4 linked regions of the Lytechinus pictus genome follow. The protein of the gene in region 3 binds, or shares a complex with, the protein of the main gene of each other region. Links are inferred from orthologs where the notes say so. Each region holds a gene or a part of one and is shown on either strand. Other genes may lie near its edges. The genes, in order: DNA-directed RNA polymerase I subunit RPA12-like, nucleolar transcription factor 1-A-like, DNA-directed RNA polymerase I subunit RPA2-like and DNA-directed RNA polymerase I subunit RPA49-like.

Evidence for each region.
Region 1: DNA-directed RNA polymerase I subunit RPA2-like (region 3) and DNA-directed RNA polymerase I subunit RPA12-like share a complex: the UniProt entries of both Homo sapiens proteins name them as parts of the pol I pre-initiation complex. The link is inferred for Lytechinus pictus from reciprocal best matches to the Homo sapiens genes POLR1B and POLR1H.
Region 2: DNA-directed RNA polymerase I subunit RPA2-like (region 3) and nucleolar transcription factor 1-A-like share a complex: the UniProt entries of both Homo sapiens proteins name them as parts of the pol I pre-initiation complex. The link is inferred for Lytechinus pictus from reciprocal best matches to the Homo sapiens genes POLR1B and UBTF.
Region 4: the proteins of DNA-directed RNA polymerase I subunit RPA2-like (region 3) and DNA-directed RNA polymerase I subunit RPA49-like are in contact, whole or in part, in a cryo-EM structure (PDB 8A43), measured with the Homo sapiens proteins. The link is inferred for Lytechinus pictus from reciprocal best matches to the Homo sapiens genes POLR1B and POLR1E. Residues at the interface, in NP_061887.2 of Homo sapiens: Lys254, Ser258, Phe259, Ser260, Tyr262, Gln263, Gln266, Ser295, Thr296, Gln297, Ser338, Thr340, Glu341, Ala532, Cys535, Pro541, Ile542, Asp543, Gly544; in NP_071935.1 of Homo sapiens: Gln27, Ser29, Asn30, Gly31, Tyr69, Thr76, Leu79, Lys80, Cys81, Leu84, Cys85, Met109, Gln110, Pro111, Leu112, Phe113.

What each region holds. Positions count from the first base shown.
Region 1 is NC_087259.1:27,112,568-27,120,165, reverse strand, and holds the start of DNA-directed RNA polymerase I subunit RPA12-like, read left to right. Parts: upstream 1-4,574; 5' UTR 4,575-4,627; coding exon 4,628-4,757; exon of another isoform or gene 4,758-4,837; intron 4,838-7,598. UniProt on the Homo sapiens protein: Core component of RNA polymerase I (Pol I), a DNA-dependent RNA polymerase which synthesizes ribosomal RNA precursors using the four ribonucleoside triphosphates as substrates. Can mediate Pol I proofreading of the nascent RNA transcript.
Region 2 is NC_087245.1:35,362,846-35,369,813, reverse strand, and holds the start of nucleolar transcription factor 1-A-like, read left to right. Parts: upstream 1-3,960; 5' UTR 3,961-4,318; coding exon 4,319-4,445; intron 4,446-4,968; exon of another isoform or gene 4,969-5,178; intron 5,179-6,968. UniProt on the Homo sapiens protein: Recognizes the ribosomal RNA gene promoter and activates transcription mediated by RNA polymerase I (Pol I) through cooperative interactions with the transcription factor SL1/TIF-IB complex.
Region 3 is NC_087257.1:11,052,458-11,059,403, forward strand, and holds the start of DNA-directed RNA polymerase I subunit RPA2-like, read right to left. Parts: upstream 3,001-6,946; 5' UTR 2,910-3,000; coding exon 2,838-2,909; intron 1,497-2,837; coding exon 1,362-1,496; intron 98-1,361; coding exon 23-97; intron 1-22. Other genes in the region: elongation factor 1-beta-like, read left to right, coding at 3,191-3,270, 6,524-6,646. UniProt on the Homo sapiens protein: Catalytic core component of RNA polymerase I (Pol I), a DNA-dependent RNA polymerase which synthesizes ribosomal RNA precursors using the four ribonucleoside triphosphates as substrates.
Region 4 is NC_087245.1:24,112,255-24,119,594, forward strand, and holds the start of DNA-directed RNA polymerase I subunit RPA49-like, read left to right. Parts: upstream 1-4,328; 5' UTR 4,329-4,496; coding exon 4,497-4,548; intron 4,549-7,340. UniProt on the Homo sapiens protein: Component of RNA polymerase I (Pol I), a DNA-dependent RNA polymerase which synthesizes ribosomal RNA precursors using the four ribonucleoside triphosphates as substrates.

The sequences.
Region 1 (7,598 bases), on a different chromosome or scaffold from region 3:
TTGGGGGCTTGTCAAATGTTTACTTCGGGGTCGAAATATCATTAGTTTTTGGTTGAAAACCTTTTTTTTGTGTGTCAAAATTTTCCTCCAAAAGCTTTGCCCCCAGTGGCGTACCTACGGGGGGGGGGCCTGGGGGGCACGTGCCCCCCCCCCCTGAGATTTGGTGTGCCCCCCCGGTGCCCCCCCCCCAGAAAAAATTGGCAGAGCAAAAAAAAAGAAAGAAAAAAAGGGAGAAGAAAAGAAAAAAAGAAAAAGGAAAAGAAGAAGAAAGACAGAAGAAAAAAAGAAAATAAGAGGAGGAAGACGAGTGAATGAAATAATGTAATTAAAAAAACAAATTTTTTTATGTTACTATACGAAATTTTTGCTGGCGCTTCGCGCCAGAATTGCCTGTTCGATGAGATTCATATCTTGCTCAATAGGCTGATATGGAGCAAGTTTTGAAGTCAATATGCAAAACATATTTTAGCTCGACATCGAGCTTTCATTATTTTTTTTTCATTTACAAATTTAAGTAAAATGTCCGTTTTATGGTCTACATATATCAGCATTTTAAGCTCACGCTGCGTGGTCACATTGTTCGATTTGCGAAGTTCATATTGTCTACGTGTATTCCATAATGTTCCATCAAACAAATGTATTCAGAATGCCCAGATTCTAGGTCTACAACACGCGCGATAGCCTGCATGTTCTTTATTTAAAATGTACATGTACTTGAATTATCCAGTATCACATCAGAATATCAATAATTTTATTGTCTGCTCACGCTTCACGATCGCATTATTAATGATACCCAATTGACTATATCCTATTTATGATTTACAAAATATGAATAGAATGTCCCGCTTTTAGGTCTAAAATCTCAATTTTCTTCCTCGATCTCGCGCTTCGCGCTCGCATCAATTGTTTAGTTACATACCTATCCCATTTATTAATACAAAAAGTGCTTAGAATGGCCATTTTTTAGGTCGGAATGTAAAAAAAAAAATTGCTCGCGCTTCGCACTCGCATTATCGAAATATATACCGTCTTCGTGGGTAACTGTAAGCAGTCCTTAACAGTTCCATTTTCGATAATGCTAGAACAGTTGATAAAAATTTCTGTTCGCGCTTGGCGTTCGCAGTAGCCATCTAGTTACATACGAATCTTGTTCAGGATCACACATAACATTGCCCAGAAAATTAAATTTAAAAAAAAAGAAAGTTTTAAAAAAATCGCTCGCGCTTCGCGCTCGCACTTTTTATCAGGCTTATGAGATTATTTCATGTTTATGTTGTTTTATAAGAATAAAACTAAGAAGTGACTGATATAGGTGAAGATAATTTCGGGCCCCGTCCCCTATTGGCGAAAGTCGGATCCGCCCTTGTGACACATACACACACACACACCGGAAAAATGGTCGGTGCCCCCCCCCCCCTGAAAAAGCAAGGACCCCCAAGTGCCCCCCGGGAAAAAAATCCTAGCTACGCCACTGTTTGCCCCCCCCCCCCTTTGGAAAATCCTGGATCCGCCCCTGAACATAGGGACATATATCTCTCTCTCTCGATCTGTTTTGATCCTCCGCTCTTCGGAGATTAGCGATAAATCGCGGTCAATAGCATAGATGGATGAAATCTAGCTCATTAGTTAGCATGAAGAGTACAGGCTATGGGCATGAATTTTATATATTATAATGAAGAGTCATTTTCAGGATGAGGAAGGGAAGGGCCATAAATATATACGGCAAGAGAATGGCGCAAGTAATTTCAAAGGGATCCTGGGTGTTGAGAGTAGGCCTAATTCTTGGAGAGGATTGAAGAGCATCTCGTAAGAGTTTGCTCACTTTGGCCAGAAGATCAGTGCGTATAGATGGAGGGTTGACGGACAAGCAGCAATAACCTGAGTCACTGTATCCTCATCATGGCAGAGAGGACATTTCGAATCAGTTTCTTTCTTGAGTTCGGGTGAGCCGAGTTCGGGTGAGATATGTTGATCAATGTCACAAGTTGTGCTCTGATCATGGAGCTATCTGTAATAGCTCCATGCTCTGATGGTTAAAGGTCAAGTCCACCCCAGAAAAATGATGATTTGAATAAATAGACATAAATCAAATTAGCAACGCGGAAAATTTTATCAAAATCGGATGTAAAATAGGAAAGTTATGACAATTTAAAGTTTCGCTATTTTTCACAAATAGTGATATGCACAACATGCAAATGAGTCAGTCGATGATGTCCCTCACTGTTTCTTTTGTTTTATATTGGGGGTGCTGAGTATTGTCACAGCACCCCCATAATAGATAATCCTCCGTGGCCAGGTCCATGAGTGACAATTAGGACCAACTTGACTGAACCATATATTAAACAATACTAATTCCACATGTTCAGGGCCCGGTTCAGGGAGGAATTAATTGTTGTTTCACTTGACAATCAGGAGAAAATAAGAATATTTCATATCTCATATAATAAAATACAAAAGAAATAGTGAGTGGATGACATCATCAGTCTCCTAATTTGCATATCGACCATGCAGGATGTGCATATAACTGTTTTGTTAAAATGAGCGAAACTTTAAAATGTCATAACTTTCTTTCTGATTTTACATCCAATTTTGATGAAATTTTCAGTGTTATGCTTGTTTAATTTTTCTTTTTTTATTCAAATCAAATTTTTGTTGGGGTGGACTTGTCCTGTAAAGGTCAAGTCCACCCCAGGAAAATGCTGACTTGAATAAATAGAGAAAAGTCAAATAGTGCTAAAAAATTCATCAACATCAGATATGAAATAAGGGAAAGTTATGACATTTTAAAGTTTCGCTTTTTTTCACAAAACGGTGATATGCACAACTAGGTGAGTCAGTTGATGATGTCCATCACTAACTATTTTTATTTTGTTTTTTATTGTTTGAATTATAGGCCTACAATATTTCATTTTTTATAGATTTAACAATAAGGACCAATTTGACTGAACCGTATCAAACAATGCTAATTCCATATGTTTAGAGTGGAATTAATCATTGTATCACTTGTTAATGAGGAGAAAATTAGAATATTTCATATTTCATATAATGAAATACAAAAGAAAAAGTGAGTGGATGACATCATAGTGTCCTCATTTGCATACCAGCCAGGATGTGCATAGGCCTATAACTGTTTTGTGAAATTAAGCGAAACCTTAAAATGTCATAACTTTCTTATTTTACATCCGATTTTGATGAAATTTTCAGAGTTATGCTTGTTGGATTTTTCTCTTTTTATCCAAATCAACGTTTTGTTGGGGTGGACTTGTCCTTTAATGATTGTCTGATAATAGTTGACAGGCGCGGATCCAGGAGGGGGCCGAGCCGGCCCCGGCCCCCCTATTTTTTGACAACCTGCAGAAAAAATGTACTCCAACTTGATAGAAACTATGAAAAACAGAAAGAAAAGTAAGAAAGAGGTATTATACCCATGATGTGTAATTCACAGCATCGTAACAGCCGGCCCGACCCCGAAAGGAAACAAGAAAAAGGTGAGGGGAAGAATTGGAAAATAGACTTTATATAAAAAAATCGCTGGCGCTTCGCGCTCGCATTGCCTGTGTAATGAATCCCATTCAAGAGGATTAAATGGCACTTAATATATCCAGTTCTGAAATCAATTTGCACACGATATTTTAGCTCGCACATCAAGCTTTCATTATTTTGTTTGATTTACACAAATTGTTAATTAATACCAAAATTTTTAGCTCGCTATGCGCGCTTGCATAGTTTGATTTGTGAGATACTTATCCTCTTTGGAAATTCTTACCAAAATTTGTAAAAATACTCCTGTATCATGTCAGTATATCAAAAAATTAAGCTCGTGCTTCGCGCACGCATTTAATTGTTTTAGACACACAGCTTTAATTGTTCTTTATTTTAATAAAAATGCGCTTAGACAGTCCAGTTCTCAGGTCGGAATATCAAAATTTTTTAGCTCGCGCTTCACACTCTCATTATTTAATTGGTGATACTTGTATCCTCTTCATTAATCACTAAAAACTATCGAGTCCCTTTTCACGTTACTATAATAAAATTTCGGCTCGCGCTTCGCGCTCGCATTGTTTAGTTGGATAATATTGCATTGTTAAATTGAACATATCTTTGTTCATGATTACAAAAACTGCTCAGAATCTTCAGGTCTAAGGACATAAGATATCAAAGAATTTGAGCTCGCGCTTCGCACTCGCATTATATATTAATACCACATGAGATATCTTGTTTATAACAATAAAAACTAACATATACTTAAAACTTCAGTCTTTAGTTCGGACTACCCACCAATATTTTTCGGTCCCCCCCCCCCCCCCCCTATTGGCGAAAGCTGGATCCGCCCCTGGTTGATGGAGGATCCCAAGATGGGGTAGAGATTCTTAAGGTTGATAGTTTTCCCATGCCAGAATTTGTGATAGATGCACCATCTAGTGTACGTAGTTCGTTTGCTCAGCAGAAAGAGAGATTGAGTTCTTCACCTTCCGTTTCCATGAGTTGTAGGGAAAGTTTCTCCTAGATCTAATTAAATATTAGTACAAATCTCTTTAACCTTACGACCACGCCCACATTAAACGTGAAAATTCGTATCCGATGTATATTTTCATTACCACGCGGTACGGTATCAATTGGATGAAGGATGGATACTGGAACAACTTTTTCTGTTGCCAAGGAAATCTGTCCGAAATGTGGCACAGTTTTACCTTTTCCAAAGCGTGGCACATTAGACGTCTTTTGTAAAATTTGTGACTTTAAAACTAATGCTACAGGTAAGTTGAAGACGGCAAACGTACGTTGACCCGCTGCTCTGTCTGAGTCGAGTCTGAAGACGTATCTGCTGGCTGCCTGCGTCTGCCGGGCAGCCGGGGCACTCCGCCCAGGGAGCTCCGGCCCGCGCCCGCTTAGCGGGCTGGAGCTCTCTGGGTTAGGCTTGTTATAGCGACCCACTAGCTCTAGAGTCTAGCGAAGCGATCAGCGCGGTGAAGCTTGTTCTTGTTTTGGAAACTACCCACAACGAACAACAACATTCATGGGCCCAGCTACCTCGAGCGAAGTTCGTGCAGTCTCCACTTCACTACCGCTACACTAGTACAATCCACCTACCCGAACTTCGAGACGGTGAACCAGTTCGGATATACTGAGTCACAAAGGTGGGGATGGTAATCATGTTTATCGTAAAAATTAAAGAAAAAAAAAAAAAAATTTTATAACAAGAAAGATGAATAACTTAATATCTTACTCTACACCCGTATTTCACTCCGTTTCCATCCTCCGGTTATCCTCAAAATTGGTGATTTTGGGTCAGTATCTATTCCCTTACACGTATTATTCACGGCCGATTTAAAAACATCGCATGCGATCGCGATCGGCCGCAGGTCAAGGCCGATCGCATGCGATGTTTTTAAATCGGCCGTGAATAATACGTGTAAGGGAATAGATACTGACCCAAAATCACCAATTTTGAGGATAACCGGAGGATGGAAACGGAGTGAAATACGGGTGTAGAGAGACCGAAGTTTTAACTCAATTTGTACAGGGACTGTGTGTGTATTTGAGTTTTGTCAGACGTGTATCAATCAGATATGATTATTTACGTCTGGGACCGACCTTTCGTCACCATCTGAAATACGTGACACAGGTCCGAACCTCTGCATCAATTTGTAACTTCCCCACAGCTTGGATTACAGGGGCACGCCACAACGCCCACTCAAATGTTTATGTGTTAAGTTTGGATAAACAAGGGAAGTGGGAGTTGCGCGACAGCCGTAGTAAGTCACTGTTTTTTCCCCTTTAAAGTTTATTTTTTCCTGTTTTGATGCATTTCAGGCCAAAACCGAATGATAATCTTTATTTTGGTCCAGTTCTTTTTATATACAGTACTTTTATGAAATACAATAATCGATGAGCCTCATCGGGGGGATTTTGCATTATTAACCCCCTAATGGTGGCTGCACGATTGCGAGGAAATCACGAGGAGAAATAAATAAAATAAAAATGTTAAAAAACTCCTCGAAACAGACGGCTGCCAGCTGCGGTCTACCATCACATTTAAGAGCGGCATCTACGTCAACAAAAAGTGCCATATTTTAAAAATCTAGATCTAGCAATTACACCTACAGTGTTGGACTGGATCTTATGCTTTGTGGTAATATGTTCCATTCTTTAATCAAGCTATCACAAATGAATTCAAAGCAGTTCTTGCAAACGGTTGATGGATAAGATTTCTCTGACGTGTATTATACGTATGAATCCTGGAGTTAACAACAAAAGCATCTGATAAAAATGACAAATTTTGAGTCGATTGTGATTTGTACATGGATATCAAACAGTTCAAGGATATTAAATCATAAAGAGGCAGAATGTTGAGCTGCAGAAATAAAGGAATACAGGGACTTCTGTAATTCAAATATGTAATGAGTCTGATAACTTTCTTTTGAAGGATCAGTATAGTTTGTTTAAATGATTCCTATTTCCCCACGCATCATTACAATAAATTAAGTAAGGCACAATGATGGAGTTACTAAAGTTTGTTTGGGTAAAAAGAAACGCAACATATATCACGGCAACACTCTGAAATCTTGGTACAAACATTGCTGACCTGATTTTTCCATGATAAATGATCATCTCCAACTCCTAGAAACCGCACATCTTGACTATGATTAATCTAATCATTCTGATGACCTATTGATAATGAATCTATATATCAGGCATTCTTCTACCCCTTGTTCTAAATACAACATATTGTGTTTTACTAGCGTTTAATAAAAGCTTTTTACAGCAAAACCATTTAAATATATTTTGAACTTCAATATCTGTCGACAATATAAGATTATGCATACCTTTGTGATAGGAGAGTAAGCAAGTGTCATCAGCAAAAAGTGAATATGTAAACAACTATGATGAATTTGTAATGTCATTGATATAAATCAAGAACAATAAGGGACCCAAGAATCAACCTCGGGGTACCCCATAATTCACCTTCCTAGATTGTGATTTAACTCCATTGATCATTACTTAACTGTAATCTATTCTTTAAGTAATTTTCAAACCAATTTAAGGCTACCCCATGAATGCCATAATGCTCAAGCTTGTTTAATATTATCATGATCCATAGTGTCCAATGCCTTCGATAAATCTAAAAACACACCCATACAATTCTTTGGAAAGCCAATTTGTTGTGGGATCATGTTAGATCCATCTATTGACACAATTTGTTTTTCAGTGACCTAGGCTAAGACGTGCCAATTCCATTAGGTGATAGCCATAATAACTTGAAGCCCTATTTATTTTCCAAGTAGGACTAGGCCTAATGTTAGTCTATAATGAATAAACATCAGATGTATTTGCTTAGACCGAAAAATCAGTCTATTTCTTTCAGGGATATGCTCTGCGGCATCCCCTCCGTCTGTGTAGGAGGAGGACAAAAAAAAAATCATTTTCTTTTAAAGAACTCAGAAAAAACAGCGGATATATCAGTCCAGTATTTGCTCAACTCTGCACACCTCCGCTCTGCTCTGCTAAGTGAGCTCATGTGTGTAATGTAAATTCTTTTAAGATGTCCGATAATTTTTAGGAGAGTGCCTTATTTAGAAAGGTGTAAACTTTCCCTC
Region 2 (6,968 bases), on a different chromosome or scaffold from region 3:
TAGTTATTGACGCAACTTATTTCATTACAATGGAGACGCATCATTTACACATGTATGAAAAAATCAAACATTTATGATTTCATCTAGTAACATAAAAAAAAGGAAAGTGGAGATGTGACATCAGCCCACCTAATGAATATTCATGACGAAGTGCATACAACTGTTTTCACAAAATATTGATAAACTTTAAAATTCAATAACTTCTTGTTATCCTATTTTGATGAAATTTTCATCATTTTGCTTTTTAAACTTGTTCTGGGAACTGCTTTTTGAAAGTTGTCAGCATTAACAAGTTGTCTTTTTCCGACAGTTACCATAGTAACAGTCAGAGGCCAGTGCTTCTCAGCCAATCAAAAGCAATGATTTCACTGAAATAGTCGGCACTGACAATCATGAAATACCCATCAGATGTTAGCAGATAATGTGCAACATAGACTCCTAGATACATATATGCAAACATACATAGTCTAAGTCTTTATTATTAAAATAAATGTATAGGTATAAGGTCGAGGCAATTTCATCTCTGCGATGTCAATTTCAGAAGTATTCCCAAGACCATGTGAACTTACTATACATGTTGTAATAAAAATGATGATGTGCTGTCTATCATTTATAATTGAATCATTGAAATATGGAACTTAGAGAAGTTTCACTATCCCATGTATTTTCTTTATGTGCAGATATAATTTTACACCACTGAAATTTTGTATTACGGTATTCACTGTACTTATTATTTTTCATTCCATTGTTTTTTTTTCTAATCTTCAGATACATCGCATCTACCAGCAAAGATCAAGTGCCACTACAGGAAAGGAAGGTACCTGTTTCACGTTTCCTCTTCAGAGCCAGTGAGGGCCCCAAGATCTCAATAAATAATAATTAAAAAAAGACTCCTTTATCATTCCTTTAAAAATAGTACATATTATTTATTGAAGGTAAATGCTTAGATGCATTATATTCAAATTTTGTCTCCAAGCTAGCATGTAAAAATTGGATTGACTACATATTTACTGTGTAAGTTAATGATCTTTGTTGACACATAATACAAGAATTATACACAGCATGTTACAGTTTGTAACATAATTTTCTTTCATTAAATTCCTAGTTTAAATACCATATATATGTTTTTTGTGACTTTTGTCATTCTCTGATGATTTTTGGTACAGATTTCAAGAGACTGAGGGATTGATTTACCAGAGCAAGTTTACAGTCCAATCCTGTTATATTGTGCATGTGGAAATTAACAAGGTTTCAATACAATGCTACAAATTTACCTTGATTCATTTCATCAGTCCTATGTGCAAGAATAATTATTTCACTTGTCCATGCACATTGTTATAACAGGAGTGGACATTCAATGTAAAGATAATTGAAGATAATTTATAATTGAAATAACCGCCTGAGAGGGGGGGGGGGGGTGTTGGTACCAATATTCTAATGTGTGTGTGCGCAAGGAAAACGAAGGAGTGATTATATGAGAAGAGTAAAAGATCGGGAATGTACATATCCACATGATTCATTTTTGTTTATGCTATACATTGCAGGGTGTTTCTAACTGGTACCACTTGACAATTTATGTTTCCAACTGGTCCTAACTGGTGCTTCCAACTTGTTCTAACTGGCACCAGTTGACAACTGGTGTTTCCAACTGGTTTTAACTGGCACCAGTTGACAACTCATGTTTCCAACTGGTCCTAACTGGCACCAGTTGACAATTGGTGTTTCCAACTGGTTTTAACTGGCACCAGTTGACACCTCATGTTTCTAACTGGCACCAGTTGACAATTTGTGTTTCCAACTGGTTTTAACTGGCACCAGTTGACAACTCATGTTTCCAACTGGTCCTAACTGGCACCAGTTTACAATTGGTGTTTCCAACTGGTTTTAACTGGCACCAGTTGACAACTCATGTTTCCAACTGGTCCTAACTGGTACCAGTTAGGACCAGTTGTCAACTGGTACCAGTTGCTAACTGGTACCAGTTAGGACCAGTTGCCAACTGGTATTTCCAACTGGTACCAGTTACAATTTGTCAACTGGATTCCAGTTGATTCCAGTATTCCAATTTCCATATTGAATCCAGTTCGCTAACTGGAATCAACTGGTACCAGTACCAGTTGGATGAACTGGTCCTTAACTGGTTTTTTGACCTGGGCATGCAAAAAAATACATCAAAGCAAAATCTACTAGCATCCTGCCAAGTTTCATACCTGTAATACAAAAAACATGGGAATAACACAAGTTTGAAAACATGTCATGTTTTTCATGGTGCCATTCTCACAACAAAGTAAAATAAAAGAATGACCTTTGACCTTTGACCTTTGGTATATCATGTCCAATTGCCGAAACATAATTGGGCATAACTAACAAATCATTGGGTCAATTTTCAAAATTCAAAGTTTTCTGAGAGCTGGAAGAGTTCCTCTTTCCAATGGTATCAATTGCAAAGCTAATCACAACTTCTAAAACTTCTATAGGGTGCTTTTCGAGACACCATGGACATGGTCGCGCAGGGTATCCACTTGTCAATGGAAGGGGTATCCACTTGTCAATGGAAGTGGTCCCCCGGTCCCCTGGGGCCATCACATTGGGTTATCGCATCGGGTCAGGCAATCAAGTATACCCAACCATTCAATAAAGGCCCCCTTAAATTCCTGAAATGTCGGGTCAGTTTAAACCCAAGTACATATAAATACCCAACCATTCAAAAAGTTTTCAGTTTTCACAAAACATCGGGTAAATTGGACCGAACCTTTCGGAAAGTTAGGGGGCCCTTTTCTCGAATGGGGCAGTTTCCTCGCATGGTCATGTTTCGCGATTGCCCGACCCGACGCGATAACCCAGTGTGATGGCACAAGCCATTCAGATGTAGCATAAAAAATGTTATTGTTAACATATTCTTGAAAAAAGTTAGAGCATACCTGATAGATTCAGTTGATCAATTTCAAGAGAATTGACAGAGTCATAAAGGAGATCATCAGAATCCTCATCCTGCTTCAACAAAGAGAAGTTAACCTCCTTCATCTCACTTCCAGTTCCAGAGTTCTTCATGTCCTTGTCCAGCAAAACTCCAGAAGTTTTTAGATCACACTTCACAATTTAGATATCTTATCTTATTTATTATCCAGGCAGTTATCGTGAAATGTCTTGCCTTCTTCTGCTTAAGCCCTTACTTAGCCTCGGCTTAGGCCGGCGATCATCAGTCAGTCCGACGTCCAGGGCCAGGCGGTCCGCCTGGCAAGGCCAAGCCGTGCCCATTCCCAGGAAAGCTAAGATGGGTCCCTCCTCCCTTTCGCCACTACAACAAGTCCAAGGGCGCTCCCTGCTCGCTCGCGCTCCTGTCCAAGGGTCAGGGGATACCGTACAGTGCTCGAACTGTTAGTGTATTGTTGGTTCTGCACTGTCACTGCAGCTGCATGCCTGTATACGTACAGTACTGAAGTAGGCACCAGCTGGGAGTGGGACAGCTCGACATCGACAGTGCAGGCTAGCTGCATGATGCGATGCGCTCCTCACAAGCGCAGCTCAACTGAATGGAGGTTTTTTTTATGTAAGGGAATTAGCATGTTTTATTTCAGAACTGAAAAAAGTTAAACATGTACCAGACCGTCCTACGTAGGATTTAGAAATAACTAACGTTAAGCATATAGTAAGTTAGATCTCTACGGTAAATTCTGACAACGTTTTCCATTTAGGGTGCGTAGCAGACGACCCTGCTGCTCGTATGACATGACGTTGGTTGACCTCTTATCGCACTCCCTCGATTTTTGGCGCGGGCAGTTGAGGCGGGCAGATATCACGAGTCTCATGGTTTGCCCGCCTGGCCTAGCCTGACGCCTGCCTGATGGTTAGGCGGTGGTGCGGCTGCTTATCAACGACAAACGATGTAAATGCGCGATCTTGTGTACGTCACATTCGCTTGAATGATTTATGATAATTTATGTAAATCTTTGAGATTCTATTGGTCGTTGCGTGTTTACTGATCGATTTCGTAAACAAGAGTGTCATCCTTGGTCACTCCGATTGAAACATTAGTTGACGGGCTGCGTTGTGCATGCCGTGTTTTAAATATAAATCAAAACAATATTCGTGAACGAGGTTGTAGATAGCGGCCTAATTAATATAGTCCACGTGAGTAAAGCTAGCCGAGGGGATCAAAATTAAATATTGAACTCTGCCAGCCGAAGATCTTTGTGTGTGAAATCAGTGATGTGGAATTAATTAAGTCAATAACTACCCAAAGTCATAAACACTCATTAGATTTGTTATTATATAATTTTTTCAAGGGTACTATTTTTTGTTCTCGGTGCGTACCGTGATGATCCTGGCGCCTATGCAGCCGATAGACACCGCGCTGGATAGCGGGCGCGGAGGAAGCGGGTCGGGACCCGAGAGCGTTGGGGCGAATCAAGAAGTTCTAGAGACAGCCATCATGGACGCTGAAAGTAAGTGGACATTTTAATTCCGTATTTTTGCGTGTGTTTGTGAAATATATTTACTTCATTATTACCAGATTGTAGTTCATATTTGTGAGGTCATTTTCGCTACATTCCCTCTTAGAAATATTTCGTCATTTTTATGTTATATGCGATTTTATTAGCCGATTCAGCAATCAAGATGGCCGGGTAAGTCTCGGGTATGTTAGCATAGGAATCCGCTCATCAGCTTTTGTGCGTCGAAGTTCCGGTATGGAAATAGACCGTTTTCTGTTAATTTTATCAGAAATTACAATTTGTTTATATTCTAATCATATCTATGGTAGTTATGTATCCATCAGTAATTGTTGCTGTTTCTTAATATTTTGAGCATGTTGAGATTAAGACTTGCAAATATTGATGTTCTTCCATGAATTTGTTAATGAGCCAGCAAGTTTGATTGACGCACGCCGCGTGTGTAGCGGCGCGGACGTCGCCCCACGCTGGCGAGTCGTGAAACCCGTGACTTGATCAAATTCCCGGGCATCCCTGTGTAACGGGCTGAGCTGAAAAGCCCGCAGTGCTGCGGCATGGTCGCCGCATTATCGAACGAGCTTGTTTGTCAGCCATGTCGCTGCCGTTCTTATTTTCAATGCCAGGGAGTAGCAGCCCCCGGGCGGGCGGGGCTTACTCTCGTGCGATGGCGCGGCTATGACGTGAACAGAATATCCTTGTGAATGTCGTGTGGTATTTTCTCATACCGGTACGTGACGTTGTTCGCGAATGTTCTCATTTTCAGAATGTTTACTTTCAGCTTTGCCTTTGACTCTCGAATACTATCGCTAGTTAAGATTTTAGGTATTGTTGGAGCGATTTTGTAGTGCTCTATTCGTTAGGTTTTGACATTGTTTGTTGGAAGTGACCAGTAAGAAATATTTTGTGGTCAGTAGACCCTGTACTGCCCATTCATTCATCGGCTCCTCCTCCGTCGTCGGGCGGTGCGTTGTGGTACCGTTCTGGCAGTCAACCCCCCGTTTTGTGGGCAAAACCATTATTTATTCTTTGAGCAGGGTCTAACTGAGGTAGAAACTACAATCAACTTCAATTCTATTGCTTTGCTTCAATTCAAACTTCAAATGCATCACTGGAGTGATCATTAGATCTACTTGAATTTTGGCCTCCCCCTTTTTTAAATACAGATCATCATCATGATATATAAACTTGATGTTTTTTTTTTGGGGGGGGGTTAAATTATGTCATAATAATTGAAATAAAGATCTAGGCTTAGTCTAGAATAAAATAATTCATTCAACATGTCCAATTTACTTTGTCTTTTGTGGTTTTGTTTTAGAAATTTATTTTTAAAGATGTTGCTTTTAAGCTAAAGGTAAATGTAGACTGTATTGTTATTTTGGGGGATTTTTTTTCATTGTAAAATCATAACGATGTTTGAAAAATAATGTTCTAATCTCCTGCCTAATCTAAGCTTCATTTTTTGTCTCACCTGAACAAAGTTTGGCAGAGACCTAGTAATATCACTTTTCCTTTACTTTTTTATGCCCCCGCAGACGAAGTCTGGAGGGGCATTAAGCATTGCCCCCGTCCGTCCGTCCCCCACTTGGTTTCTGCGCAATAACTCAAAAAGTATTTAATGGATTTTTAAAAAATTTGGTGTGTAGGTAGATGACACCAAAATACAGCCAGGCTAAGTTTGAATTCTGAGTCCGCAGGTCAAAGGTCACAGCTCATTAAATATGCAAGTTTGTTTCCACCTTATGAAGTATTCAACAGATTTTTAAAAAATTAGGGTGTGTAGGTAGATGACACCAAAATACAGGCTATGTTCGAATCAATTTATTGTCATTTCTATCAATTGCATTTGACATTTTATCAATGTTAATTCAATTTATGTTTTATCTCTACCGTTGTATAATTATACTATATCTGTTGATTTTTTGCTTGTAAATTGAACATTTTCAGCCTGTGAGCTGCCTGTTTGATTTTTTTTCTTTCAATAAACCATACCAATTCAATTCAATAGGTCACAGCTCATTATATATGCGAGTTGGTTTCCTCATGATAACTTTGGAAATATTCACCAGATATTAAAAATGTTACGTGTCTGGGTAGATGACACCAAAAGATAGGTCACATCAAATGACCTGACTGTCATATCTTCTGTGAGAGATTATTATGGAAAGGGTGAGTCTTCAGGTCAAAGGTCTAAATTTGTTCATTATTTTTTTCCAATTTTTTTTTTGCACAATATTAAGTTCAATCATATTGAATGAATTTCTGATCATGTTAAGCAGGGGCATCTGTGTCCTCTGGACACATCAAATTTCTAGTTTTGTTCTGAAATTGATTTTTAAAGATGTTACTACAAATAAAATGTTTTAAGCTAAAGGTAGATGTAGACTGTATTGTTATTTTAGGGGATTTTTTTATCATTTTAAAATCATAACAATGTTTGAAAAATAATGTTCTAATCTCCCGCCTAATCTAAGCTTCATACCTAGTAATATAACTTTTCCTGAACTTTTTTTTATATGC
Region 3 (6,946 bases):
GAAACGGTCACCCTGAACCTACCTCTGATGGGTAGACTTTAAGAGTAGAAGCAAACAGGTTTCCTCTTGCAATGGTTGGTACACCAATGAATGCATCCTATGAAAAAAAAAACAATCACAAAGAATGAATGTATCCTATGAAAAAAAAAACATAAATAACAATAAAATTAAGAACAGGACATTCACAACATCAGAGCATATTGTGATATACAGGTGACCCAGGGGATAGGAATACTATGGGCCAGAAAGGATAAAGATGAAATTAAAGGGGAATCCAGCCTTGGTCATAAAATGTTGTGTTGGGAAGGAGAAAAATAAATTAAACAGAATGGTGAAAATTTGAAATAAATCGGACAAGAAATAAGAAAGTCATAGCTGCTTTAAAATTGGGATCACTAATAGTATGTAGATTTCAAATTGGCAACTGGGTAAGTAAATTATGACAAGGGGCAAGGACAACCTTCCCATAGGCCATGTACTTTATTATCAGGGATTTGTGGTTTTCTCCTAAGTACCCATTCCCCTGGGGCAGTAATCTAAATATAACCCAGGTAGTATATTGTTAAATGTCCTCATGAAAGAAAAATACAATTTGAAATAAAACTTTGAGGAAAAATGACATTTTAGCCATAATATGTAGTGGAGTACATGGAAGAGTAGTCCTTGCCTTACATCACTATGACATCCCATATGCGGCCAATTTGAAGTCTCCATGAGTATAGTGATTACCAATATTTCCAACTTTGAAAAATTCATAACTTTCTTGTTGTTTGTCCAATATTGTTCAAACTTTCACCTATCAACTTGTCTGACTTTTCTTTTTCTTATAAAAACAAGTTTTTATTTGGGTTGGATTCCCCTTTAAGTTTGGGATGAGGCGGGATTTCATGTGAATTTTAAGGAAAATGTAGAAAGAAGTATTTTTTCACTTTTTTTATATAAGGAATACTTGGGGGTAAAGATGGAGATGAATCATTTTAGAAATTAGAATGAAACAAGATAGCTGAAAATTACTATTAATGGCAATCCATACTTGTGCATATACAGTGTACCAGTATAATGCCCCATTTTCATACTTATATGCAATGGCAATTCCAGAGTAATGTTTTCATGAGTAAAACTCTGTCTCCAACTTTCTCTCATTTAAACTACTCAGCTATTCAGAAACATAAGAACATTGATATCTATCAAGCAAAAGTACAATGTTTACTTTGTTTTTTTAATACTTCATGTGTTATCTTCTTCCACAGTCACTCTGGAATCTTTTGGATCAAATCAAACTTTTCATACTGATAAAAAAAAATTAGATTTCATCATATTATTTGATTTCAAAATACTATTCAAATCTTTTCTAATGATACCTCATATGAAAGTGAAATTCTTTCATCATCCAATAGGAACTCCACTGGATTGATGTTCCTCACTGCCTGTGCTAATCCATCGTCAAGCATGTAATTGAAGGATTCAATGTGAGGGCGCACTGCATCTTCTAGGAGCTGTTTTCACAATGAAAAAAAAAGACAGAATCAAAATCAATTGTAAACACCAGCCATGTATTAACCTCTAACTTCATCAAGGATAAGAAGAACATAATAGTAGCATAGGCCAGGCCTGCAATCACCATCAGTTTTATGAACATGTACATGTACTCATTTCTCAAAATTATCTTAAAAATTCAATATCTTATACTTGTTAAATTTAAGATACATGTACCACAAGGACAAAGTTCATTGACCCCAATTGTGATATGTGACTTGTATACCTGAAACTCAAATGATCAGTAACCATGATTGGTGACACTTAAATATCCTACTCCTAGCTATATGTCCAGGTTTCAAAAAGTTAAACTTTTGACTTGTTGACGATCGACGAGACAAAAATCAGATTTAAAGTCTAGAGTCTCTACATCTTTTGTTCGTGTTAGGTATCTAAATAAGATTTTTCAATTTTTTTAAACATTAACTTCAAGCTCTAACGTTACGCTCTCCTTATTATAAAGATCTAACTTTACAATAGCTTTTGCAAGTAGTAGCACGTGAAAACTTAACCCAGGGAGCTCAAGGATAATAAAATTGCAGGTGATGAAATCATACTTCTTCGTCTCCCTCCTCCGGTGAGTGGAGGAGATTATATTCCGTCAGCTGTAATGTATGTCAGTTATGTCACTGAATCATAACATGGACCTAGACCAAAAGCTTCAGTCTCTGGTATGTTGGTTGTTCCGCTGAACTCCGTTGGCTCCACTCACCAAATACAGAGACTGAAGTTGTAGCTCAATCTGTACAGGGACCCAATTATGGCCATTTATAATAATTAATATTAATATGTTCATGTAATTATTAGTTCGGATAAAACAGGGAAGTGAAGTTGCGCGACAGCCGAGGTAAGTCACTGTGTTTTCCCCTTTTAATTTTATTTTTCCCCGTTTTGGTGCATTTCAGGCCAAAACGGAATATTAATAATCTTTATTTTGCCTTTTTTTAGTTTTGGTACACGTACAGTTCTTTTTATATATTTATGAAATTAAGTCAGACAAAAATCAATGAGCCCCGTCGGGGGGATTTTGCATTGTTAACCCCCTAATGGTGGCTGCACGATAGCGAGCCGTCTGTGTACGAGAAATAAAAAAAAATAAAAATGTTTTTAAAAAACTCCTCGAAACAGACGGCTGCCAGCTGTCTATAACATGGAGCCTAATATCCGCACTCAGGTCGGTTCGCTGTGGCATTGATTTAATGTACACAATATTACAACTTCTCACACTACACCAAATCATGCACACGAAACATTCCTTATTACATGGTAAATTCAAGATTTAAAACGAATGATATATCAACCTTGTTCTGGTACTCTTTCGGTCTCCCATATTCTCCATTTGTTAAGTTACGGTAAGTTGGTGTATCACTCATTTTGACAAATTTTGGGCGACCACCTTACCACATTCACAATTCCATTCGCACTTGCAGTGCACTGCAGTTTTGTTTGGCAAAGCGCAAGTGCATCGACGTTTCGCACATGCGAGATTTTTTTTCGCTGAACCCCCCTTTTTTACATTCAATGTATGTATACTGTGTGCTGTGCGTGCCCAGTTCCAGAGTCATCCAATTATTCATCCTTTCCTGAAAAGTACACGTGTGATTCACTTGCTGCTCGTCTCAACTCCGACTTTTAACAAACTTATCTTGCAAAAATGGGTTTCGGTGATCTTAAAAGCAGCAGTGGGCTCGGTGCCCTTAATGATTTCCTATCAGATCGCAGTTACATTGAAGGGTAATTTTCTTTTTATTTCACAAGATTCAACAACATACGAGGTAGCGTCTAGCGAGGCGTGGCGTGAGCTGACTGAGTCTTAACCCAGGAAGCTCCCGCCCGCGCGGGCGGGAGCTCCCTGGGTTAACTGAGTCTGAGCTGCGTGCTGTGTCTGCCCTGCACTGCCACTGCGATGTTCAAGTTGAGATGGGTACCATAGGCATGATTGGGATATCAAATGTTAATAGTAAATTAGCATACGAAAGTAAACCACAATGGGTTTTTTATTGATAATTATACTGCTGTGTGTGATTGGTTCTGTCAGTAGACAGGTAGATAGAGGCGCTGGTCCAAAAATTGGGATTGTCTCACTCTCACTCAGTCTCAGAAAACAAGGATATCCTCATCATGTCATAACCAAGGCAAGACAAATCATGTCTTGATGAATTGAGATTGTCCTTGTTTATTGGGACAGTTTCTCTTCATTCACTTAGTGACTTTAGCCCTGCGGGACATGGACAGCAATTCTCGCTACCCCAAATAGGAACAAAAATCTCATAATGCGCGAGACGAGATTATTTTCACTCCGTCGGGTCGTCATCACCACTTCCGGTTCAGAGTCATGCTCGCGCGAGGTTCGCGATACTGAGTTTTCCACCACGCTGAAATCGATGCCAATCAGCGATATGTACAGATTATAATACTTTTTATCTAATTTGGTCAGTTTTGATTCCATTTGAATTATAAATAAAAATAAAAAATATATTTCATGTGAAAATAGTTTTTATTCATGTTTTTATTTGGTTATAAAAAATTAAACAAAAAATGAGTATCTTAAAATTTCGCATTTAGCGACCGGCCTGACATCACGATCGTATTCGACTAGACGCTTAATATATAGCCTACAGCATTCATTCCGTTCAATTTTTCGTCGACCACAAAATGGATAAAAAAAAAATCAGTTTTGGAACTTTAAAAAATCTTAACTGACAGAGGAATACCGTGCAATGGAAAGCGTCAGGCAGAATTAGTGACTTTAGCAGAAAAGGCCGTTAAACTGTATCGTGAAAGAGAGGGTTGTGATCACGAACTTTCCGAGCGAAAGCGACGTTGTGTTGTTGTGCATGACGGCACTGTTGATCTGAATGGCAAAACAGTGCATTGGACTTCCGAACAGGAAGTTTTAATACCGAAAAGCTATCCCATAATGCAATGCGCGTTACAGGGATTTTTCCCGGATCTCGGCAAAATCGCTATTTGGGGTAGCGATAATTGCGGGATTGAGAGTGCTAAAAATAGATTAAGTGACCTCAATTCCCCCAGTTCACCGTCTATGGACTATGTCTATGACTATAATCTATATTTCATGACTTTCTGTCTTCCATTTCCAATAATCTTGTTATGAAACCTGATGATATGTTTACATTACATTGACTAGTGCACTGGATTGATGTCACAAGAAATCTAACTTAGGAAAGTTCATTCACCTGTGAAGTGCCGACATCAATCGGCACTTCACAGGTGAATGAACTTTCCTACGTTAGATTTCTTGTGTGGAGAAATCTTTGAAAACTGAGACAGTCCCTGTAAACTGGGACGATCCCAATTTTCTGACCAGCACCTCTGTCATATCACCTTCATTTTGTGAAAACTCACACAATTTTCTTATTTCACATCCATTTTTGATAATAAAAATTTTGGTGTGTGATTTTTCTTTTGTTTTTATTTTATTCAAGTCATCTTTCAGGTTTTAGTTGTTTATTTCCTGTCTAAGTGGGGTGTCTGAAGCCACACTGAAAAGTGTCAGCATAAGACAGGCTGATTTAGGGGAAAATATGGCACACTTTTTTCAGGAAATTCAGGCTGCTAAAAAAATGTGATCTGAATTGATTATTAACTTTTGTTTGGCATGTATTGAAAGAAAATTCAGGGGCTTCTTTTGACAGTAAGGACAAGTTTATAGGATTATTTGAAATAAGGATTTAGAGATAAATTGCAAACCCTTATTTGTCTGTGTGTTGAGATTGTTATTTCCCCATGCATTTTCTATGGGAAAATGAAATTTCTGTTTTGCACAAATTTTTTCACTTTGTCGCAATTCTTCATTGTGATCTGGTTTCCAAATCTTTATAAAAATCATACCATCGGAAAGAGCATAAAAATTCCTACTAGACACTTTATGGACAAGTTTTTGGCATTAATAATAAATTTATAACAGCTCTCGGAAGCTAAAAATTAGGATTTGTGTGTGTCCATTTCTTAACTACACAGTAATATGGCAGGGAAATGCTGAAAATTGACCTAATTTCATTCTTCTTTTTTGCAGCCAATAATTGGATTTTTTCAAAAAATATTACATTTCTATCAGTCTGAAGGTTTTTTCTCTTCAAATTCACAAAGAAAATGTGATATTTCCTTGAAATAAGAAAAAAAAATTCTCCAGACACCCTAGTCTAAGATTAAATCAACATACATGTAGCCTATTGTAGGCCTACATAAAAAGAATGTGATTGTTTTTTATGTGTTTTTTTAGAAAACAATTATTTTATTCCGCTCTGAGCGCCTTGAGCATCTAATTAAGATCAACATGGAAAGTGCGCTATACAAATCTTGAATTACTATTAGATAGGGCAAAAAAAAATGAAACGGCATTTCTACTAAAAAGCGTTACCTTTATTATATATTCTTTATTAGCATTATATTGTCAAAGACATTGCTCAAAACTGACCATGAAATTTCCTACTAAATAGTTAGAAATAAGGCTTAAATGCGCCATAAAATGTGTCTGGAAATGCATACATACAGCATTTTGGCCCATCCCCAGGCCATAGGCTATACTTTGTGGGCTAGTGGCTGAAAATAGGCATTTTTAAGTCTTTATAGACTGTTTGAGCCTCTGTGAGGAGCCATGGAAACATGTCACATTACTTGGCTGCCAGAAAATGTTGCCACATTTAACTACATTGTTCACTCAAAATATAGAATGAAAATTTGAGGCAAGTTCACCTATTGACTTTTTGACACATGTCTACAGCACAAATCTGGTGCCACCCTAGTATTATTTTATTTTTAGAACCTACTTTGAATTAAAAGGGTTATTTTTATTGTGAGTTGCATCTAGACTCAATCAACGTACAATGTAGCTTGTGGTTACAGATTTTGTTACTACCCTCATGAAAAAAAAAACCTTTATGTATTTATAGTATACACACCCGAATGAATGAAAAGAATTTACATCAGTTTACCTTTAGTTACTTTTCTCTTCCAATTTCAGGTACACTGTATCCCAGGCTGATGTTGTCGTTTTCAAAGCACTGACTGGGGGCCCAGCAGCAGACCTCTTCAACGCACTCAGATGGTACAATCAAGTCAAGTCGTATTCTTCCACATTTACTAGGTGTGTGTAATTTATCTTTTTTTCCTTATGAATGTACAGTAAATGGGGCTAATGCATCAATGGCAGCCAAAAAAAAACAGTTATTTTCAGGGGCTCCTTTTTGCAAATTATTGCCCAATAAATCTGCTACATTGGATTTTTTTACATTGCAATGAAGAAGGATTTTCCAGGGCCCCTTATTCAAGTTTCCAGGGTCATTTTTAGCATAAATCGGAACAAAATCTTCTTCTTCACTCGTAAGTACAGGCCACTGTAATGCCGCCGCGCACAGAAAAATCAAGCCATAGAAGTCGTGTGTGG
Region 4 (7,340 bases), on a different chromosome or scaffold from region 3:
TTTCTGGACAATGTCATTAAACGGATATGTATCTCACTGATCAAATAATGCGAGCGCGAAGCGAGAGCTGAATTTTCTTTATATTCACACCTAAAAAGAGACATTATAATCAAATTTGTGTAATCATGATAGGTACCTGTCTCGCTAAACAATACGAGCGCGAAGCGCGAGCTGAATTTTTCGTATATTTTGACCCCAAACAGCGAGATTTTGAGGAATATATTTTAGGAATCCATTAAGAGTATGCATATCTCACCATAGTCATCTAATGCGAGTGCCAAGCGCTTGCTGGTTTATAAAAATTACATCTGAACTCATGAAACACTTTTTGTAGTCATTGCAATCATGATTATCATACGCATCTTCACTAATCAAATATTGCGAGCGCGAAGCGCGAGCTGAAAATTTATATAATTCAGACCTGAAGTGGGGCATTCTAAGGTTTCTTTGTAGGAATTAACTAGGACCATACGTATTTCAATATCCAAATGATGCGAGCGCGAAGCGCGAGCTGAAAATTTTTGATATTCAGATCAGAAGAAGGGACATTTTAAGGACTGATTTTAAGAATTCATGAAGAGCAGACATATCACACCAATCCACTAATGCGAACGTAATCACGGACAGGAAATGTTTCATATATACGAAGACCTTAACATGGGGAAATCACTTTTTGAGTCATGAAAAAGAAGCAAATGTCACTACATAAAACAATGATAACTCAAGTGCTAGGAAATATATTTGGTTTATATTGACTTGAAAACGGGATGTTTCAGTACAACAGGATTATATATCTCGTTAACAGACAATGCAAGCACCAGGAACAATGAATAAGTAGGCCCTGGGCAAATTATGTTTCATGAAGTTATGATAAAAATGTTTCTTATGTAATGTAACATAACATAATTATAATATAACATTATAATGAATAATATTTTCTTCTTTCTCACTATACGCTTCTCTTACTTTCTCCCTCTTTTCTCATTTTCCCCATTTTTTTTGGTCAGCCAATTGGGGGGGGGGCACGTGCCCCCCATGCCCCCCCCCCCCGTAGTTACGCCATATGGCAAAAACCCCTCCAATATTATTATCTTTTTTAACCCATGATGGTTTAATGGTTTTATTAGAGAATACATTAAAAAAGAATTGACATTGTATCTTAATCCCTTCCCAAAGACCCCAACATTGACGAATTTAAGAAACGGGAGTTCCTCTTCAATGTTATAATAAGGACATAAGTATTTCGTTTGGAAATGGTGAACTGGCTCTTTATTTGCACTTTATGATTCAATAATATTGTTTTATTTGTTAAGCGGTATTTCAGGAAGAATTTTCACCAATAAAACAATTATCTCTTGTGATTTTTTTTTCATTTCTTTCGTGAAAAGTGGGGGGATGTTTGTACAGGCCATCCCCCCTCCTCGAAAAGTGGGGGGGATATATCCCCCCACCCCCCCCCCCCCGGGATTTACGCCAGTGGTCTTTACAATAATATTTAGGCCCTATATCTCTACCAACATGACCAATTACGTCAACAGCCATGAATAGACAAAGTCTTTCATGATTACAAAATTGATTATATTTAAACAAACATTCCCATGATCGTTGCATCGAACATGTCGGAAGGTTCTCTTTACCACGATGAACCAATTGTGATGGCGGCTCAAGTGCTTCCAAGGTCACTGAAGGTATAAAATGTCGTTACTTTTTTCTTCCACATTTTCTTCTGGGGGCGGGAGGTAATAAACTACAACAAAATTGTATTTTCTTCTTAAATGATTTTAAGCAAAGTGAACAATTGTTTGGACAATGGAAGAATTTGGAAATGTCCTACGATCTTATATAGGAACGGGGTTGTGTTCCTATCGGTGTTTTGATATCAAGGTGATAATTTTGCAGATAAGCAAAATTAATGTGTCACCTGATTGGAAATATAAATATTATAGAACAATATTAGCTTATTACTAGAGACTGTGTTTATTTTCTCTCATGAGGTCATGATCATTGATCTAGTCTATATCTTTCGATGTTGATTTCAATTTTCTATAGACCTATGAGGTGTTCGACTCAGTAGCATGGGAACGAGTTTTTTTTCAAGAGGGGTGCTCGTTTGGAAAAAAAATAATTGGAAAAAGGGGGGTTTTCGCTCAAAAAACTTTAAAAGGGGTGATTTTGGTCAGTCAAAGTTTGAACAAGCAAAATGGCAACAACAACAACAACAAAACGCAGAAAAATGAAGGTGATTTAGGTCAATACAGTTTAGCATACCGATTATATTTCCAGGGGGTGCTGCCCAGTGGATGCAAAGCATACGCAGCACCACTAAAAAAAATCACGCACGCTTCCCAGTGCCATATGGTTCAACTATATAATACACATTTTAGAGACTGATCTGCATTAAAAATCGCATTATATTATGCCCATTGATACTTTGCCATCATTTATGGACTCTGTTATCGATATCGTCTTGCTTTTTTCCCCGTATATGTAATATGGTCATTATACCCGAATGGAAAGAAACAATTAAGGGCGTATGCTGGTTTGAGCATCATGGGAGGTGGAACTTTAGTGGTATGGGGGATGCACATCTTGGGGAGGCGGAACTATAAGGTTTTGAAAATCAGCTGTTTAAAGCCGAAGAAAGGGTGCAAATTTCGTTTTGTTTGCCAGTGTCGGAACTCTTCTGCCTCAGCGAGAGGGTGCACCCCACTAGCGTACCTACGGGGGGGGGGCAGTCTGCCCCCCTGACGAGCCACAACCCATGCAAAGGACGTACCCCTGCCCCCCTGACGAGCTTGAAAGACCTTTTTTTGCCCCCCCCCCCCCCTGACGAGCTTGAAGACCTTTATTGCCCCCCTGACGAGCTTGAAGACCTTTTTTTTTTTTTTTTTTTTTTTTGCTTGTCAAATTTTTGGGCGGACGGTTTTGCCCCCCCCCCTGTGGAAAATCCTAGGTACGCCACTGGTGCACCCCTCCCCCAGCCTACTATACGCTCGGCTTGACTCTCACAGTGGAAGAAGGTGGAAGCATTATGATGATCAAAGCGACAAGGATGAGGAAAGAGACGGGGCGATGGCTTGTAACTATTGATTGCTTGATGGATGGATTAAATTCGCCAAGTCCCCTAAACCATGCGATTTTGTGAGATTTTTTTTGGTCCGGGGTATATAGGGGGGGAGTCGGGTTCCTAATGGAATCGGAGGGTAATCGCCCCTTCGATTCTTCAAATGATTAATTGAGGAAGGGGGAAAACTGAAGAAAAAACAAAAGGAGGAAAAATGAACAAAGCATTTATTATGCGCCATCTAAACTATTACGAGACGCAGGAAGGATAAGGAAGAAAACGGAATGATAAGTGCTTTTGTGTAGATATCTTTGACGCCTACTTATTTTTTATTGAGATAATGTCATTTTAGACGACCCTAGAATCCCTTCCCGAAATCTCCTAGCAAAATATCCTGGCGCGGCCCATGATATATGGCCAAATAAGGCTCAGTTTTACATCATATAATTTTGAAAAGTATATTGCACCCTTGTCTAAACTTAAAGTCAATTGGGAACTGAAAGAGATCCCCATTCGGAAATATCTTTGTACCCAATATACCTAGCGATTTCTTGGGCCGAACCCATGAGGAGAGGGCGGCCGGGGGTCACCATGGCCCTGGGAAGCGGGATGAAGCACCCCCAATATTTTCCTTGGGGTGCCACTTTATTATTATCTATAGGTGCAGCACCCCATATATGCTGGAAGGTGTGTAAAAATAATAAAAAATTGTAACCAAAATTTTCCTTTGTTTTTTAGTAAAACCTACTTGTTTATTTTTCATTTTATTTTATTTTTTATTTTTTGCTTTTCAAATTTCTTTGGGTCAAAATGACCTCGTTTTGTAATGAAAACCTTGTTGTTTTTTCTTTTCAAATAAGCATCAGCACCCCTAGTTAAAAAAATCATTGCCATTTTGACAAGAGTTATGAAAAACTTTTGTAAATACTATAATGATTTTTTTTTTCATATTAGAAGGATGCACAAGAAAAATATTTCATAATGTATACATCATATTGGTAATAAATATCATTATATGAGAAGTAAGATTTTCTAAATAAAAAATAAGTCGATGGCGACAATAGTCTAATGTGACTTATCGCCACTCAAACCAACATAAGATGAAGTTCCCAGGGCCCTGGGGGCCATCCTTGGGCCCCGGCGTGGGCCCAGCATCCGAGAGTGTGTAGCAACAACAACATAAAAATTCCCACCATCTGGCATCAAGTGGGGGTGTAGTTGGAGGGTTATTTTCTTTGTTACATTATCTACATTGGTCCCCTAGGAAATGATACCAACCATCACTCAATTCGTCATCTCAGCTATCGAGGCTCCCTGTATAGAAATTTTAATATTTCATTTTCCAAATCGGAGACACCATACTGCTTCAAGATTTTGGTGTTGCGCAATCGCCGAAGTACCTGGGTTGAATTAATTTTATTCGAAGACGAAAATGATGGCCACATGTTCATTTATTTCAAGTGATCAGGAGAAACCAACTCTAGGTTCGTTATTTTTCATCTCATTAAACAAATTATACAAACAATAAGATGCGGTCATGTAGAGCACGTAGATCTAGGGTTAATAGAATATTTACAGACTTTCTATTACTCTGAAGTGAAGAATCAAGCTGATCTGGACTGAAGAAGTCGCGGAGTCTTTGCTTTATATTAGACCCATGTATTGATTATGCTGTAGTGTAGGGCCTACTGCATCGCGGTTCCGTGGCGTGGGGCCCAGGTCCACTGCACTCTAAGCACCAAGGCTATTAATTCCTGTGTTAAAAAAGTGAGTGCACGCGAATTAAATGTTGGACTTAAATTACTAGATCTTACCATGGAGCTCCATGACGAAATCTGTTCTTAAATTAGACTCTAGATATTACTAAATTGAAAAAATGTACTAGGACTAGGAGTGAGTAGGACCCACTCCTAGTAGTACCACTACCAATGAGGTCCAACATTACATGTATGGACCTCATAGGCGACATCAGTAGTATTTTGTGTCAGAAATCTTTGTGAAGATGATTATTTTTGTATTTTATCAAAACTACAAGCTATCGTACTGTCTAATCATTACATTTCGATCTCACTAATTGAATACATTGTTAGCAATAAAAAAAATTGAAAGAAATGAAGGGGAACTTATATTTTCACGGCTTTTTCCTGATTTTCTGGGCAACTGCTCTTCTCTTCTGACTCGCGATCGAAGCTGATATGAAGATCACGTGATTCGCGTTCTCGTCAGCTGATCGGTTGGTTATTCTTTTCGTCAGACGTTAATAATATATATTTTATAATGCTAGCATTCATCGCTAATTTAGGTGAAAGAGATTGAAGTTAAACAGCGCCAGGTCGGAATCATAATTATTTTGGAAGAGTGTATTTATACACTCGATCTCATACCTGACGTAGACGGCGCTATTCAACAAATGCCCAATCTTCAATATAAAAAATAAAACAGAAAGAACGCCTTGAACACAGGCCAAAATGCCTAACGATTTCTTCGCGGCATTAACAACTATCGTAAAGGGCGCTCCATTTATTAATAAAGATGGACGTATAGCTGTCTATGGCGACAAAATTTGCCGCAAATATTTACGAAGAATTGTGAGAAATGGTCTGAAAATGCAACAAAAGAACCGGTGAGTACCGATTAAACATTATCAATTTATTTAATAGAACATATTTAATTACTACAATGTAACAATTTCTAGATAATATTGCTTAGTTCTAAGCTAGGGAGGCCCAAACGCGCGTGAGCGGAGTCCCACTTTATTAGCACGGGTAAGTATTGGGGTGTCGCCTAGAGTGCTAGGACCTATAGTACTCGCGCCTGGTCTTTTCTTGGGGTATTGAATTGAAGCCTTTTTGTCCAGAACTTGCTCAACTTTTGCGGCAAATTTTGTCACCATAGCCTTGTGCACATTCTCGTTTAATACTGGTTGTCACGTGACACGGCAATGTCGTTAGGCTGTTTGGCCTGTACTCAAGGCGTTCTATCCGTTATGATTTTATATTATAAAGTCAAAGAGGGGCCTAAGCTTTCGATCCTAGCAGAATCTTCGTCGGAGGCAAAATGACAAACATATAAAGTGGAACAACCATAATATAGACCACAAACAAGCTACAGCAACACTAGAAACAAGGAGACAAAAGGGGCATTAGTGAGTAGAGAAGACCAATCAGGTTAGTGAAGGGGATGAAAAAAAAGGAGTAGGCAGACACAAAGGGAAGTTAGTGTAAGTAAGGCCAAGAGGGATTAAGATAATGAGGCAGGCAACATCAAACAGGATCTGGAACAAAACAGTGATAGAGGGATGAATAACTAGAGAATTAGTGAGAGGTGGGTCAAACAGGTTACAAAGAAAGGCTTAATAAACTGGTGCATAAGAGTGGGGGGAAAAAAGAAGAAAAAGAATGGGGAACAACTGATAATGTGCAAAAGACATATAATTATATATGATAAAGCATTAAACAAACTAAGAGAAGAAGGTAAGTGTAAATATGTATCTATAAGTGATATGTATATAAATATATCCAAAAAAGAAATGTATATGAAAAAATATATAAATATATACACATATGGTGTAACTGATATGGTAATCCGCTAGGTGTGACGGGAAAAAACATAAGACTATATAGTAGGAAAGAAAAAAAAATCTGTATATGTGAAAAAGAGGAAGCAAATTGCCTAAAAAGGTAAAAGCAAATATAGAAGAGAGGGGGTGTATTATGAAGAAACCATAGTATACATGTAAATAAGCAAATGTGGTAAATCTAAAAGAGGTGAGTGGAGAAAAAACAAATATATATATATATATATAATAATTATTATATCGCCTGAATAAGGAAGGAAAAATTGGAGCTGAGCTTGTATGAGATATGGGAGGAAAGTAGAGTAAGAAACTATAATGTAACTATTCAAAAGAGCTGAGGGGAAAAATTATATGTATATATAAATTGAAAGTGGATAGGAAAGAAAAATCAGTCGTTCCCCTCTTGGATGTTCAGGCCATGAGGTTGGGTGGTGCGAAGTCGTCTCATCCAGAGCTTCTCCCTGCTAGTACGGACTGAGTCAGGACGGGTACCTAAAGATTCGATGCCCTGTAGCATCATGTCAGTGATGGAGTGGTTGGGGAGGTTAAAATGGCGGCCAACTGGAGTGTCCAGCTTTGCTGTGTTGACGGTGGATCTGTGCCCGTAGAATCGTTTCTTGAGTGTGGTCTTGGTTTTATATTGAATGAAGCTAATTCCATCAGGTATAGGCCCCTATCAAGTCAAAATCGATACAGGGA